Drosophila melanogaster: one gene and its partner. The protein of the gene in region 1 interacts with the protein of each later gene in a biochemical or structural test. Each region holds a gene or a part of one and is shown on either strand. Other genes may lie near its edges.

Region 1 (7,348 bases):
CACAATTGGCGCACTCCCATTATTTACCTAATCCTCCTCTTTATTTGTCAAAAAATACATCATCTGTGAGCTCTTGCTCGAAAATGCGCCTCGCTTCCTGGGTGACGTCCAGCAAGGTGGCCTTGCTATTGCACAGGATCACATAGTACTGCCTGTAGTTACAGCGCCGCTTCACAATCCAATAGTCATTGGTGGTCTTGACCTGAACTTCCTCGGCAGGAGCACTCTCCATTTCCGCCTTGCCACTGCCATTGGCCAAGTCCGCAATGATACTAAGCACATTGCGGGGCAGCCCTTGGGGCAGGTGCCTCTGAAAGTTCGTGTGGTGCTGCAGGCTTTGTTCGTTAATGAACAAGTACTTCGGCGCCGTTTCGCTGTTCCCGCTGGAGTTGTCCTGGCCTGCAGCACCCACCGCCTCCTTTGTCAACTCGCTGGATATGTCCCGGGCCAACGAAGTCAGTTGGGGAGCCATGTAGGCATGGAGATCGTCGTAGAGATCTTGTTTCGGCGCAACCTGGTCAGCTGACAAATGTGGAATGTTTCAAGTTGATTATTTTGGCTATTTAGTTCTAATCCTTAACATACCATTCAGAAACAGACACAGAGTTATGTGCAAAGCGCGGTAGATGAGCAAGTAGTAGGGTTTGGCCTCCTTGTCCAGTGTCACATAGACCTTCATTGGATGATCTTCCTCATTCACAGCGTCATGTTCATCTCCTGCGACCTTCTGACGACTTCTTACGAATCCGCCCACCTGGCATTCACTTATGCTTCGCTTTAGTGAAGGAGAAACTGCAATGGTGGAACTGCTGGCCTCGACTTTCAGCACGTGTTGCACGACATACGAGTGCACGCAGTGCAGATCCTCCGGGCTAAGTTTTCCGCCACAAAGGACCTGCTCCTGGTAGAGCATTATGCTCTCCTTGATGTCGGGGAAGGTCTCGCACAGGGTGCCAAAGTTTTGGGCCCGCAAGAAGAGCGTTTTATCCAATGGCAGATACTGAATGGAATGCAGCATATCGATGATATCACATTGCGCGGGATCCCTCAGGTTGGTCAGATGCTGATCATAGAACTGGAGTAGCTTCTGGCAGAGCAGTTCCCTACGCTTATCCGGATTAGGTTCTTCACTTCCGCAGGAGGAGAAACATCCGTTTTGAAAGCGAAACATTTGATAGCATTGTCTAAGTATTGCTCTATAAATCCTGTCGGAGATCTCGGCACCCCGATAATCGGCCACCTCCACGCCCTCCTTTAAGCGCACCTCCTTGGGAACATTCAGGACCAGTACTAACCAATACCCTGGCTCGGGTTGGTAGAAGAGTTGTGTGGTTTTCTGGGTATGCAAGGCCTGGCAATCATCTTCAGATGTAAAAGTTCTGCAAGTACAGCAAACTCTGTATTATTACCCACTTCCCTCTATGTAAAAAGTTCCATAAATACCCAGTGAACCTTATGATGGCCTCACTTAGTCCCACATCTTTGATTTTCGTATTTAATTCAATGTCATTTGGATGGTAAAACAAAACCTTCTTGTGTTCCTGAAAAAAATTACTCATTAGGGGCGTTTCTTAGCCTTAAAATTGATTTGCCAACCTCGCCTTCAACTTGGCCAAAAGTCGAGTTAAAAATGTAAAAGCTGCGTAACGTAATTTCTACGCGTTGCAATAATTTAGCCATTTCTTTCCGCACAGAATTAAAAGTATTTATTTTGGCCAAAGGTAAATAATGAAAAGGTACTAACGCGTCCGTGTTTGCCAACCAGGGTTACATTTTACCAAATGTAGTGTGCTAGTATATACCAAACGTTTCCAGTACCAAATTAAAAAAAATACCACACAATTAATAAGCGAATTTAAAGCTTTTTCATTTATTTTGGAATTTAATAGATTTAATAAAATTTATGTCATGGCGTTTACTGAAATTTAGAATTTTTCTGATGTCTTCCCTTTTGACAATGCAGAAAGGAAAGTGGCCATCCATAATCTCCTCATATTTATTTAGAGTGAAGTGCGTGCTAAATTGTGTTTATTTGGAAATGTATTTAGTTTAAGCCTGGATTCCTCCACGGAGACGGAGCACCAAGTGAAGGGTCGATTCCTTCTGGATGTTGTAATCGGACAGGGTGCGTCCATCCTCAAGCTGCTTGCCGGCGAAGATCAGACGCTGCTGATCTGGGGGAATTCCCTCCTTGTCTTGGATCTTAGCCTTAACATTCTCAATGGTGTCCGAGGGCTCTACCTCGAGGGTGATGGTCTTTCCGGTCAAAGTCTTCACGAAGATCTGCATACCACCACGGAGACGAAGGACCAAGTGAAGGGTGGACTCCTTCTGGATGTTGTAATCGGACAGGGTGCGTCCATCCTCAAGCTGCTTGCCGGCGAAGATCAGACGCTGCTGATCTGGGGGAATTCCCTCCTTGTCTTGGATCTTAGCCTTAACATTCTCAATGGTGTCCGAAGGCTCTACCTCGAGGGTGATGGTCTTTCCGGTCAAAGTCTTCACGAAGATCTGCATACCACCACGGAGACGAAGGACCAAGTGAAGGGTGGACTCCTTCTGGATGTTGTAATCGGACAGGGTGCGTCCATCCTCAAGCTGCTTGCCGGCGAAGATCAGACGCTGCTGATCTGGGGGAATTCCCTCCTTGTCTTGGATCTTAGCCTTAACATTCTCAATTGTGTCCGATGGCTCTACCTCGAGGGTGATGGTCTTTCCGGTCAAAGTCTTCACGAAGATCTGCATACCACCACGAAGACGAAGGACCAAGTGAAGGGTGGACTCCTTCTGGATGTTGTAATCGGACAGGGTGCGTCCATCCTCAAGCTGCTTGCCGGCGAAGATCAGACGCTGCTGATCTGGGGGAATTCCCTCCTTGTCTTGGATCTTAGCCTTAACATTCTCAATGGTGTCCGAAGGCTCTACCTCGAGGGTGATGGTCTTTCCGGTCAAAGTCTTCACGAAGATCTGCATACCACCACGGAGACGAAGGACCAAGTGAAGGGTGGACTCCTTCTGGATGTTGTAATCGGACAGGGTGCGTCCATCCTCAAGCTGCTTGCCGGCGAAGATCAGACGCTGCTGATCTGGGGGGATTCCCTCCTTATCCTGAATCTTGGCCTTCACATTCTCAATGGTGTCCGATGGCTCTACCTCGAGGGTGATGGTCTTTCCGGTCAAAGTCTTCACGAAGATCTGCATACCACCACGGAGACGAAGGACCAAGTGAAGGGTGGACTCCTTCTGGATGTTGTAATCGGACAGGGTGCGTCCATCCTCAAGCTGCTTGCCGGCGAAGATCAGACGCTGCTGATCTGGGGGAATTCCCTCCTTGTCTTGGATCTTAGCCTTAACATTCTCAATTGTGTCCGATGGCTCTACCTCGAGGGTGATGGTCTTTCCGGTCAAAGTCTTCACGAAGATCTGCATACCACCACGAAGACGAAGGACCAAGTGAAGGGTGGACTCCTTCTGAATGTTGTAATCGGACAGGGTGCGTCCATCCTCAAGCTGCTTGCCAGCGAAGATCAGACGCTGCTGATCTGGGGGAATTCCCTCCTTGTCTTGGATCTTAGCCTTAACATTCTCAATGGTGTCCGAAGGCTCTACCTCGAGGGTGATGGTCTTTCCGGTCAAAGTCTTCACGAAGATCTGCATACCACCACGGAGACGAAGGACCAAGTGAAGGGTGGACTCCTTCTGGATGTTGTAATCGGACAGGGTGCGTCCATCCTCAAGCTGCTTGCCGGCGAAGATCAGACGCTGCTGATCTGGGGGAATTCCCTCCTTGTCTTGGATCTTAGCCTTAACATTCTCAATTGTGTCCGATGGCTCTACCTCGAGGGTGATGGTCTTTCCGGTCAAAGTCTTCACGAAGATCTGCATACCACCACGGAGACGAAGGACCAAGTGAAGGGTGGACTCCTTCTGGATGTTGTAATCGGACAGGGTGCGTCCATCCTCAAGCTGCTTGCCAGCGAAGATCAGACGCTGCTGATCTGGGGGGATTCCCTCCTTATCCTGAATCTTGGCCTTCACATTCTCAATGGTGTCCGATGGCTCTACCTCGAGGGTGATGGTCTTTCCGGTCAAAGTCTTCACGAAGATCTGCATACCACCACGGAGACGAAGGACCAAGTGAAGGGTGGACTCCTTCTGAATGTTGTAATCGGACAGGGTGCGTCCGTCTTCCAGTTGCTTGCCGGCGAAGATCAGACGCTGCTGATCTGGGGGAATTCCTTCCTTGTCTTGGATCTTAGCCTTAACATTCTCAATGGTGTCCGAGGGCTCTACCTCGAGGGTGATGGTCTTTCCGGTCAAAGTCTTCACAAAGATCTGCATTTTGGATTATTCTGCGGGAAGAAAATAGAGATGTGGAAAATTAGTACGAAATCAGACGAGTTTCGTTGAAATTACAAAACTATTGAAACTAACTTTCTGGCTGGGGAATAAAAATGGGAAACTTATTTATCGACGCCAACTTTGTTGAGAAACCCCTATTAACCCTCTACGAATATTGGAACAAAGGAAAGCGAAGAAACAGGGAACAAAGGGTAGTTGAGAAACCTTTGTTCCGTTGCTTCGTCATCGTTTTCGTGTTGCGAGTGTGTGCATGTATGTATACACAGCTGAAATGCATGCATACACATTATTTTGTGTGTATATGGTGACGTCACAACTACAAGCAATAAGAAATTTTCAGACGTGGCTTTGTTTAAGCAACCTACTCTATTTCAGCTAAAAATAAGTGGATTTCGTTGGTAAAATACTTCAATTAACTAAACAACTAACTAATAACATGCACACAAATGCTCGAGTGCGTATGTGATTTCTCGAATTTTCAAATACGTCACTGCGAATTTCACAATTTGCCAATAAATCTTGGCGAAAATCAACACGTAAGTTTTATTTATAGATTTGTTTGCGTTTTGATGCCAATTCATTGGGAAAACGAGATGCGTGGCTGCCAATTTCTTATTTTGTAATTACGTAGAGCGTTGAATAAAAAAAAATGGCCGAACAAAGACCTTGAAATGCAGTTTTTCTTGAAATTACTCAACGTCTTGTTGCTCTTATTACTAATTGGTAACAGCGAGTTAAAAACTTACGTTTCTTGTGACTTTCGAGAATGTTCTTTTAATTGTACTTTAATCACCAACAATTAAGTATAAATTTTTCGCTGATTGCGCTTTACTTTCTGCTTGTACTTGCTGCTGCAAATGTCAATTGGTTTTGAAGGCGACCGTTCGCGAACGCTGTTTATATACCTTCGGTGTCCGTTGAAAATCACTAAAAAATACCGTAGTGTTCGTAACACTTTAGTACAGAGAAAAAAAATTGTGCCGAAATGTTTTTGATACGTACGAATACCTTGTATTAAAATTTTTTATGATTTCTATGTATCACTTTTTTTTTGTGTTTTTCGTTTAAACTCACCACAGTACAAAACAATAAAATATTTTTAAGACAATTTCAAATTGAGACCTTTCTCGTACTGACTTGACCGGCTGAATGAGGATTTCTACCTAGACGACCTACTTCTTACCATGACATTGAATGCAATGCCACCTTTGATCTAAACTTACAAAAGTCCAAGGCTTGTTAGGATTGGTGTTTTGGAATTTAAGACCCTTGTTAGTTTGCTTTTGAAATAGCACTGTCTTCTCTACCGGCTATAATTTTGAAACTCGCAGCTTGACTGGAAATTTAAAAAGTAATTCTGTGTAGGTAAAGGGTGTTTTAAAAGTGTGATGTGTTGAGCGTTGCGGCAACGACTGCTATTTATGTATATATTTTCAAAACTTATTGTTTTTGAAGTGTTTTAAATGGAGCTATCTGGCAACGCTGCGCATAATCTTACACAAGCTTTTCTTAATCCATTTTTAAGTAAAATTTGTTTATACTCTTTCGGCAAATAATTGTTAAATCGCTTTAAGTGGGCTTACATCTGGATAAGTAATGAAAACCTGGATAATATATTAATACATATAATCCACTGTGCTTTCCCCGTGTGTGGCCATATACCTAAAAAAGTTTATTTTCGCAGAGCCCCGCACGGTCACACTACGGTTCGGCGATTTTCGATTTTGGACAGTACTGATTGCAAGCGCACCGAAAGCAAAATGGAGCTGGAGATTTTGAACGCGAAGAACAGCAAGCCGTACGGCAAGGTGAAGGTGCCCTCCGGCGCCACGCCCATCGGCGATCTGCGCGCCCTAATTCACAAGACCCTGAAGCAGACCCCACACGCGAATCGCCAGTCGCTTCGTCTGGAACTGAAGGGCAAAAGCCTAAAGGATACGGACACATTGGAATCCCTGTCGCTGCGTTCCGGCGACAAGATCTATGTGAAGGATCTGGGTCCCCAGATTGGCTGGAAGACCGTTTTCCTGGCCGAGTACGCCGGCCCACTGATTGTATACTTGATTTTCTACTTCCGACCGGAGTTGGTGTACGGCAAAGCTGCCAGTCTGCCGATTTCCCTAACCACCCAGTGAGTTTGTAGAAAGTAGTCTCTGAAGTCTTTCGATTGTCGACCTAATCGACCTCGTCGCTTATGCAAACTAAAACGCAACGGCTCTGCATAATTATCCCCGAACTTTGGATGGTGGTTCACCCAGTAACCCGCTTTCTTTTCTCTTTTGCCCCAGCATTGCCGCCGGCTGCTATACGGTCCACTATGTGAAGCGTCTGCTGGAGACGATTTTCGTGCACCGCTTCTCGCACGCCACCATGCCGCTGAGGAATCTCTTCAAGAACTGCACATACTACTGGGGATTCACCGCCTATGTGTCCTACCACGTGAACCATCCGCAGTTCACCTCGCCCTGCATGTGCACCGTTTGGGGAGCTCTTGGGGCATTCGCTGTATGTATCCGCGGCCATGGTTTATGGATCTGGGTTATATGTTTTCGTAATCTACCGGTTTCCTTTGCTTTTGTTCGAAACATTTGTTTCTTAATACCAAAGGTGTAGCTTTTTGTTAAAATTGGTCAAGCAATTTGTAATGTTATATGTGCTATATATTTGGGATCCATTAATCATATTTGCAGACCCACAAACTAAGCCGCACACTTTTCACTTTCAGCTCTGCGAACTAGGAAACTTTTCGGTGCACATTGCCCTGCGCAACCTGCGTCCGCCGGGAACAAAAGTGCGCAAGATTCCGGTGGCCGATGGAAATCCCCTCACCAAGCTGTTCGAGTAAGTGGTCACTAAAAAAACCCACAGCTCAAGTTTATTAATTCGCGCTCTTCGAACTGCAGCTTGGTTTCTTGCCCCAACTACACCTATGAGATCGGTGCCTGGGTTTCATTCTCTGTGCTGACTTCTTGCCTGGCTGCCTATC
Region 2 (6,376 bases), about 15 Mb from region 1:
GTGCATTAGAAGTTTCCTCTTTCCCGAGCAAGTACCATTATCGGGCGTGCCAGGCGGCAGTCCGCATAGGTTTCTAATGGGTGAAAGGCAGCCGAAGCTACTTTCCCCGGATGCGGAATCCGACAGTCTGCCAGCGAACATTGTTTGCTTGCCCTGCGGACTGGAGCCCACCATGGACCTCGATGGCTCTGCCGTGTCCTGTTCGCCCAAAACAATGACATTGTGCAGATCGAAGAGTTTCCGGCGCATGGAACTATTAAAGATGTCGGGACCACCACTTGACTTGCTCCTGCCAGACAAGCGGCCAGCCAAATGTGGCTGGAAGTACGGACGCAGGGCATCCTCTAGGGCTTTTGGCAATATCGGCGGCAAAGTAAGTTCCGTTTGCACCTCGCAATCCCGCATCCTTCGCGACTTATTCGATATGGGAGTGTTGTCCTCGCTGCAATTGAGTATTATGCGCTGTTTTCGCAATGGGCAATCCACCGGACTGGGCACAATGAGTGACTCCTTGAAAAAGGCACTGATGGCCAACTGGGCCTTGGATTCCTGCTCGGGATCGGGGGAATCGTGGAACTGGGTTTCATGGGGCTCCACGTCGGCGGGTTTTAGTTGGGAGACCTCGTCAATGTTCCACTCGAACTGGGTGGACGAGAGTTGGGGTGTCCGCGAGCGGAAAAGTGAGGGGCTGCCAGGAAAAGAGAGGGTCGCGTTAAGAGGATTTTTCGAGCAGACGAAAAACTCACCTGGCGATCAGTGGCAGGTGTAAACGATCGGCCATCGCTCCTTCGAAGGGATTCCGCACCTTGTGCAGCCTTTTCGGGGGCGGGGTGCACACATTTCCCGACATCTGGGGGCTGTATTTTCCATTTTCTTTGCCGCCATTCGTTGGCGTTGCCGACGCCGCCGACGAGTTGCTGCTGTTCGAGTGGCTGTTACGGCGCGCCCGGCACTTCAATCCGTTCACATTTGTAATGTATCGATTCTTGAGGGCTTGCGGCGTTCGCACCTCGTCGTTGTACATCTTTTTCAGTCACTAAGTCGCCTAATTTCGACTTAAAATAAAACAAGCGCGCCTGCTGCGACTCGCAGGCAGATGTCGGTATTTTCAAATGCAGCAGTGTTGTATAGCGATGCAGCGGAGTTATCGAATCGTTGGCAATTCGAAAAGCAGAATGCGAAAGTGAGGGATGTTCAAGGAAAAAAAGGTGCTAACGACTGATTTGTCACTTAATATTTATTTATTCGCATATCTAAAAGTGCCTGCAAATTATTTCGACTCCCGTCTAACTTTTAGTATTTTTATTTTGCGCGCCACCCGCTGCTTGCTGTCGATAACACATCAGCTGGGCGACTTTAACCGTTTTATAATAAAATGGGACCAGTCTAAAAATAAAGAATGGTTACTGGTATACAAAATTGTATCCCATTATAAACTTGAGGAATAAGTAGCTCGTAATTATCCGAATATGGATGCATTTCAATATTTGGGCTGCTAGAACCTTTTATTGTTCCTATAACCCGAATAGAGATTCCATTTCAATATAACTTTATCTTGAATGGTTTAGTTTACTTTCTATTTAAACTAATATTCCGTTTTAAATGTTTCAATACTCTTATATTAGAAAAATACCAATGCCAACATCTGAGTACGATTTCGCAACTGGTCACACTGACAGCTGTCTTCTACCAACACATATGCGCGCGTGTGTATGTGTTTGCGTGCAGTGCGAAATAGAAACAAGAAAAGCAAGCGAAAAATCACAGAAATTCACAAAAAAAAAGCCCAACTACTTCCAAAATTGGGCCGCCCGGCGAAGAACCGCAAAAGTGGCCAAAATTCGGCGAAAACAGCGCAAGTGTGACAAAGCATTCGTGCCGCTGCAGTCGTCGGCGAAACGGGCGAAAACAAAAGAGAATAGTGTTGATAGTAATACGAGCGTATTTAGCAGTAGCAGCAGCAGCAGCAGTGGCCGAAGCTTCGGCAGGGGAACGGAACGGTGGGCGGTGGGTGCAGAAGCGGGCCGGGGAACGGCCGAGAACGAAACACTAGCAGTAGCAGCAGCAGCAGCGACAACAACAAATGCCGGTCGCTTTATCACCGCCGATCTAATCAAAACAGTTAACAGCGACAAGCAGCGAGACAGAGTAGCAAAGGGCCACAGGGACGCGAAAAACCCCCTAGATGCCACCAAACATTTGCGCCTATCGGACTGCTTGCGTACCGTGCAAAAACTTGCTATTGAACTTGAGAGCGCCGACGCCGGCAGCGACGCCAGCGCCCAAGCCAACGCTAGCGCCGACGCCAGCAGCGCCGTCATGTCCGAGACGGGTTGTCGGCACTATCAAAGCTATGTGAAGGAGCACAGCTACGATACATTCCGGGTCATCGACGCCTACTTCGCTGCTTGCGTCAACAGAGATGCGCGCGAGCGAAAGGTGAGTTCAGTAGCGTGGAAGAGAGTGGGAGCTAGAATGAGTGCGCTACTGGCGTGGTGAGGTGAGAATGTGCGAGTGTGCGAAGGGGAGAACGCAATTACAATCAGAGGTGCGCCGTGAGTCACGTGAAAGGTCACTGACACCCCGGCTGTGGGATGACAGTGGCAGACAACGCACCGTTCTCACCACAAAGCAGTGCGGACTTTTTTGAATGGGTAAAGCATGCAACAGCTGTTTTAACAGCTGACAAATTGGCACTGTGAAAAATACTTTTGCATCGAAAAAGTTTTGTTTTCATTACGGTGAAATTACATATCAAGAAAAATATATTCAAAATATTTAATATTGTTACATGGCTTTTGTATTTTTAGCTTCATATTGATTATATATTATATTGCTTACGAGATTTAGAGTTTTCAAATTTTTGTTACACTTTTATGCATTTAGTATGGGACGTATTTTTTGTAAAGTTAATGGGATTAGAAAAAAAACGAATATAATTTTTTATCAGCTGCCATTTTAAAATCTACCTCCGCCAGGCTATTCACTGCAACTGCTTCGAGTGCGGCAGCTACGGCATCCAGTTGTACGCTTGCCTGCACTGCATCTACTTCGGATGTCGGGGGGCCCACATCACGAGTCACCTGCGATCCAAGAAGCACAATGTGGCCCTGGAGCTGTCCCACGGAACGCTCTACTGCTACGCCTGCAGAGATTTCATCTACGACGCGCGGAGTCGCGAGTATGCGCTGATCAACCGCAAGCTGGAGGCGAAGGATCTGCAGAAGAGCATCGGCTGGGTGCCGTGGGTTCCCACAACCAAGGAGACCAATCTGCTGCTGGCCAATGCGAGGCGTCGGCTGGTGAGGCCCAATCAAACGATCGGACTGAGGGGTCTGCTTAATCTGGGCGCCACTTGCTTCATGAACTGCATCGTCCAGGTGGGCAAATCCAATTAAACTGGCGAGTCTCCTCTCACTGACTTACTCCTGTCTCCTCTAGGCTCTGGTTCACACGCCCCTGCTCAGCGATTACTTTATGTCAGATCGTCACGACTGCGGCAGCAAGTCATCGCACAAATGTCTCGTTTGTGAAGTGTCACGTCTCTTCCAGGTGAGTTCAATATGCTGTGGTGTTTATGAGGAGTCTTTTCTATTCGATATGCTATCCCCCTTTGTAGGAGTTCTATTCCGGCTCCCGTTCGCCGCTGTCGCTGCACCGGCTACTGCATTTAATCTGGAACCATGCGAAGCACTTGGCCGGCTACGAGCAGCAGGATGCGCACGAGTTCTTCATCGCCACTCTGGACGTGCTGCATCGGCACTGCGTGAAGGCAAAGGCGGAGCACGAAAGCAAGAGCAACAGCTCTGGCTCGGGAAGTGGAACCAATTCCAGCAACTCGAGCAGCTCGCATTGCTACGGCCAGTGTAATTGCATCATTGACCAGATCTTCACGGGCATGCTGCAGAGCGATGTGGTGTGCCAGGCCTGCAACGGAGTGTCCACCACGTACGATCCGTTTTGGGACATTTCGCTGGACCTGGGCGAAACAACAACGCATGGTGGTGTTACTCCAAAAACGCTGATAGACTGCCTGGAGCGGTACACTCGGGCCGAGCATCTCGGATCGGCGGCCAAAATCAAGTGCTCTACCTGCAAATCCTACCAGGAGTCCACCAAACAGTTCAGCCTGCGCACTCTGCCCAGCGTGGTGTCGTTCCATTTGAAACGCTTCGAGCACTCAGCTCTGATCGATCGCAAGATCTCCTCGTTCATTCAATTCCCCGTGGAGTTCGACATGACGCCCTTTATGTCGGAGAAGAAGAACGCCTACGGCGACTTCCGGTTCTCTCTGTACGCCGTGGTCAATCATGTGGGCACCATCGACACCGGCCACTATACGGCGTATGTGCGGCACCAGAAGGACACGTGGGTCAAGTGCGATGATCATGTGATAACGATGGCATCGCTCAAGCAGGTGCTGGACAGCGAGGGGTAAGAATGACCAATATATTACAACTTTATCACCGCAAAAGCAGCATTCAATGTTAACTTACTTAAGTTGATTTCACGTCTTATCTTAAATTCATATACAACGTTATTTAGCTTTTTATTCGGATTATCAAATCATTATTAACTAACTACTTATTTTCACTTCTTTCAGTTATTTATTGTTCTACCATAAAAATGTGCTGGAATACGAGTAAGAAAATCCGCTGAGATCGATTAAAGCAGCGACTGCATCCCTCAAAAAACAAAAGCAGAAAACAGAAGTCAATGCATTACGAATTACGAATAAACACAAAATACAGACAAGGACGCGGCAGCGCTTACATATTAAGTAATATTAACACAAACACGAAAGCAATCCTACAATTTGAGGAGTGTTCATTTGATTCGATTGGGGTTATTCAAGCTCACAAACTCAAAACATTGGAACGAACAATGGAGAACAAAAAAAAAGGAAATTAATGAAAATGTAATCAATCTGAACACTCGATTTGTGGAGATACCCGTTTTGCTCTAAGTATTTCAAATCCATAATACTAAAAACAAAATCAAAAACAACAAGCAGATGACTTATACATTTATATTTAAAAATCAAACAAGGGATATTCTACAAACGCCGTATTACAAATGGAAAGCGAATTTTTATCATTTTTCTTGAAATGCCTTTTATTGAAAAAAAAAATGTTAAAAACTCATTTTCAGACACATCCGTTATAACTGAACCAAAATCCAAATCATGCTTATGAATGTCATGGATTTTTTTTATTTCGTCTTCATTTAAATAAGGAGAGCAATAATTGTAAATTTAAATACTTACATTTTTGGGGGCTTAGGAAACTGGGATTAAGATACATTGCAATTATTTAAAAAACAAAAAAAAATTACAACCGACGTCAACTTGGGCTCGTCCGGGAATTGAACCCGGGACCTCTCGCACCCGAAGCGAGAATCATACCTCTAGACCAACGAGCCTGCGGTACTGGGAGCGATCAGAATGACGCTTTTTAATGTGCGAGCCCTCTCACTCCATCGCTCTGCCTTGTGCTATGAGCAGGCTAAAAAGAGACAACTATAGTGTGCGCTTGGTTCGAACGCTTGCTTACTTATTCGATGCACAAACCACATTGAATGTTATCTGGGAATATAATATGCTATTTATGAGCATACATTTTTTAATTCCGTGTAATGAGAACCTACTCTTGTTGGATAAAATCCAATTGTCTAATTAAACTTTTCACAGTCACAGCTATACATAATTGTTCCTCAATTTTCGTGAGGAATTTTATTTATTTTAAGGTATAAAATCCTTTTTCTGAGACTACCATCTTCTGAGCTTGAATTATTATTAATTTATTAAAGGAAATGTATATTTTATCGGGTCAATTACCTTATCGATAAGATCGGGAGCTTTGCAATACTGTCGCAGTTGGAAAAAGTCTAGGTGTCGTCAGAACGCGGATTAAAATGTAGTTTCAAAAGTCGTACAATTATCCCAACTTCAAGTAAAATGGCTGCATATGCGAGCGCAAGAGGCAAAATTATTATCAACGCTGCCCAAAACATCCAGAACTAAGCAGCCAAAATGTTAAAACAAACGGTTAATATGCATGCTCATATGATTTTGCCGCAGATGAATTTTTTAATGTACGCTCGACAATGCGCTTTTCGCAACGCTCATGCAAATTACTTGTGAGTCTCCGGGATTTAAAAAAGAATCAATCCTAGACGAAAACTGTAATGTTACATAGTTTGTACGTAAGGAAATACATAAACATTATGGAAATGTGCCAATTTTTCAATTGTAATGAACCAAATTGCGTTTGTTTACTTTTTGTATTTCGATGGTATAGGTCAAGTTTCACAACAATGTATTTCGACTTAAGGCGCTTTTGGACTTAAATAATCATTGATAGCAAAACAAGAAAGA

The links. The genes of interacting proteins can lie anywhere in the genome.
Region 2: of the proteins of Ubi-p63E (region 1) and not, one has a biochemical effect on the other in vitro, tested with the Drosophila melanogaster proteins (one study listed by BioGRID).

What each region holds. Positions count from the first base shown.
Region 1 is NT_037436.4:3,897,419-3,904,766, forward strand, and holds Ubi-p63E (Ubiquitin-63E), read right to left. Parts: upstream 5,767-7,348; 5' UTR 5,586-5,766; intron 5,503-5,585; exon of another isoform or gene 5,437-5,502; intron 5,290-5,436; exon of another isoform or gene 5,109-5,289; intron 4,633-5,108; exon of another isoform or gene 4,435-4,632; intron 4,353-4,434; 5' UTR 4,342-4,352; coding exon 2,050-4,341; 3' UTR 2,013-2,049; downstream 1-2,012. Other genes in the region: Ccz1 (Caffeine, calcium, zinc sensitivity 1), read right to left, coding at 41-522, 586-1,379, 1,444-1,541, 1,597-1,680; Sc2, read left to right, coding at 6,123-6,493, 6,651-6,867, 7,088-7,203, 7,266-7,348.
Region 2 is NT_037436.4:18,617,435-18,623,810, reverse strand, and holds not (non-stop), read left to right. Parts: upstream 1-1,681; 5' UTR 1,682-1,698; coding exon 1,699-2,439; intron 2,440-2,978; coding exon 2,979-3,380; intron 3,381-3,441; coding exon 3,442-3,552; intron 3,553-3,619; coding exon 3,620-4,434; intron 4,435-4,603; coding exon 4,604-4,646; 3' UTR 4,647-5,005; downstream 5,006-6,376. Other genes in the region: bora (aurora borealis), read right to left, coding at 1-688, 747-1,024. UniProt on the Drosophila melanogaster protein: Histone deubiquitinating component of the transcription regulatory histone acetylation (HAT) complex SAGA. Catalyzes the deubiquitination of histone H2B, thereby acting as a coactivator in a large subset of genes.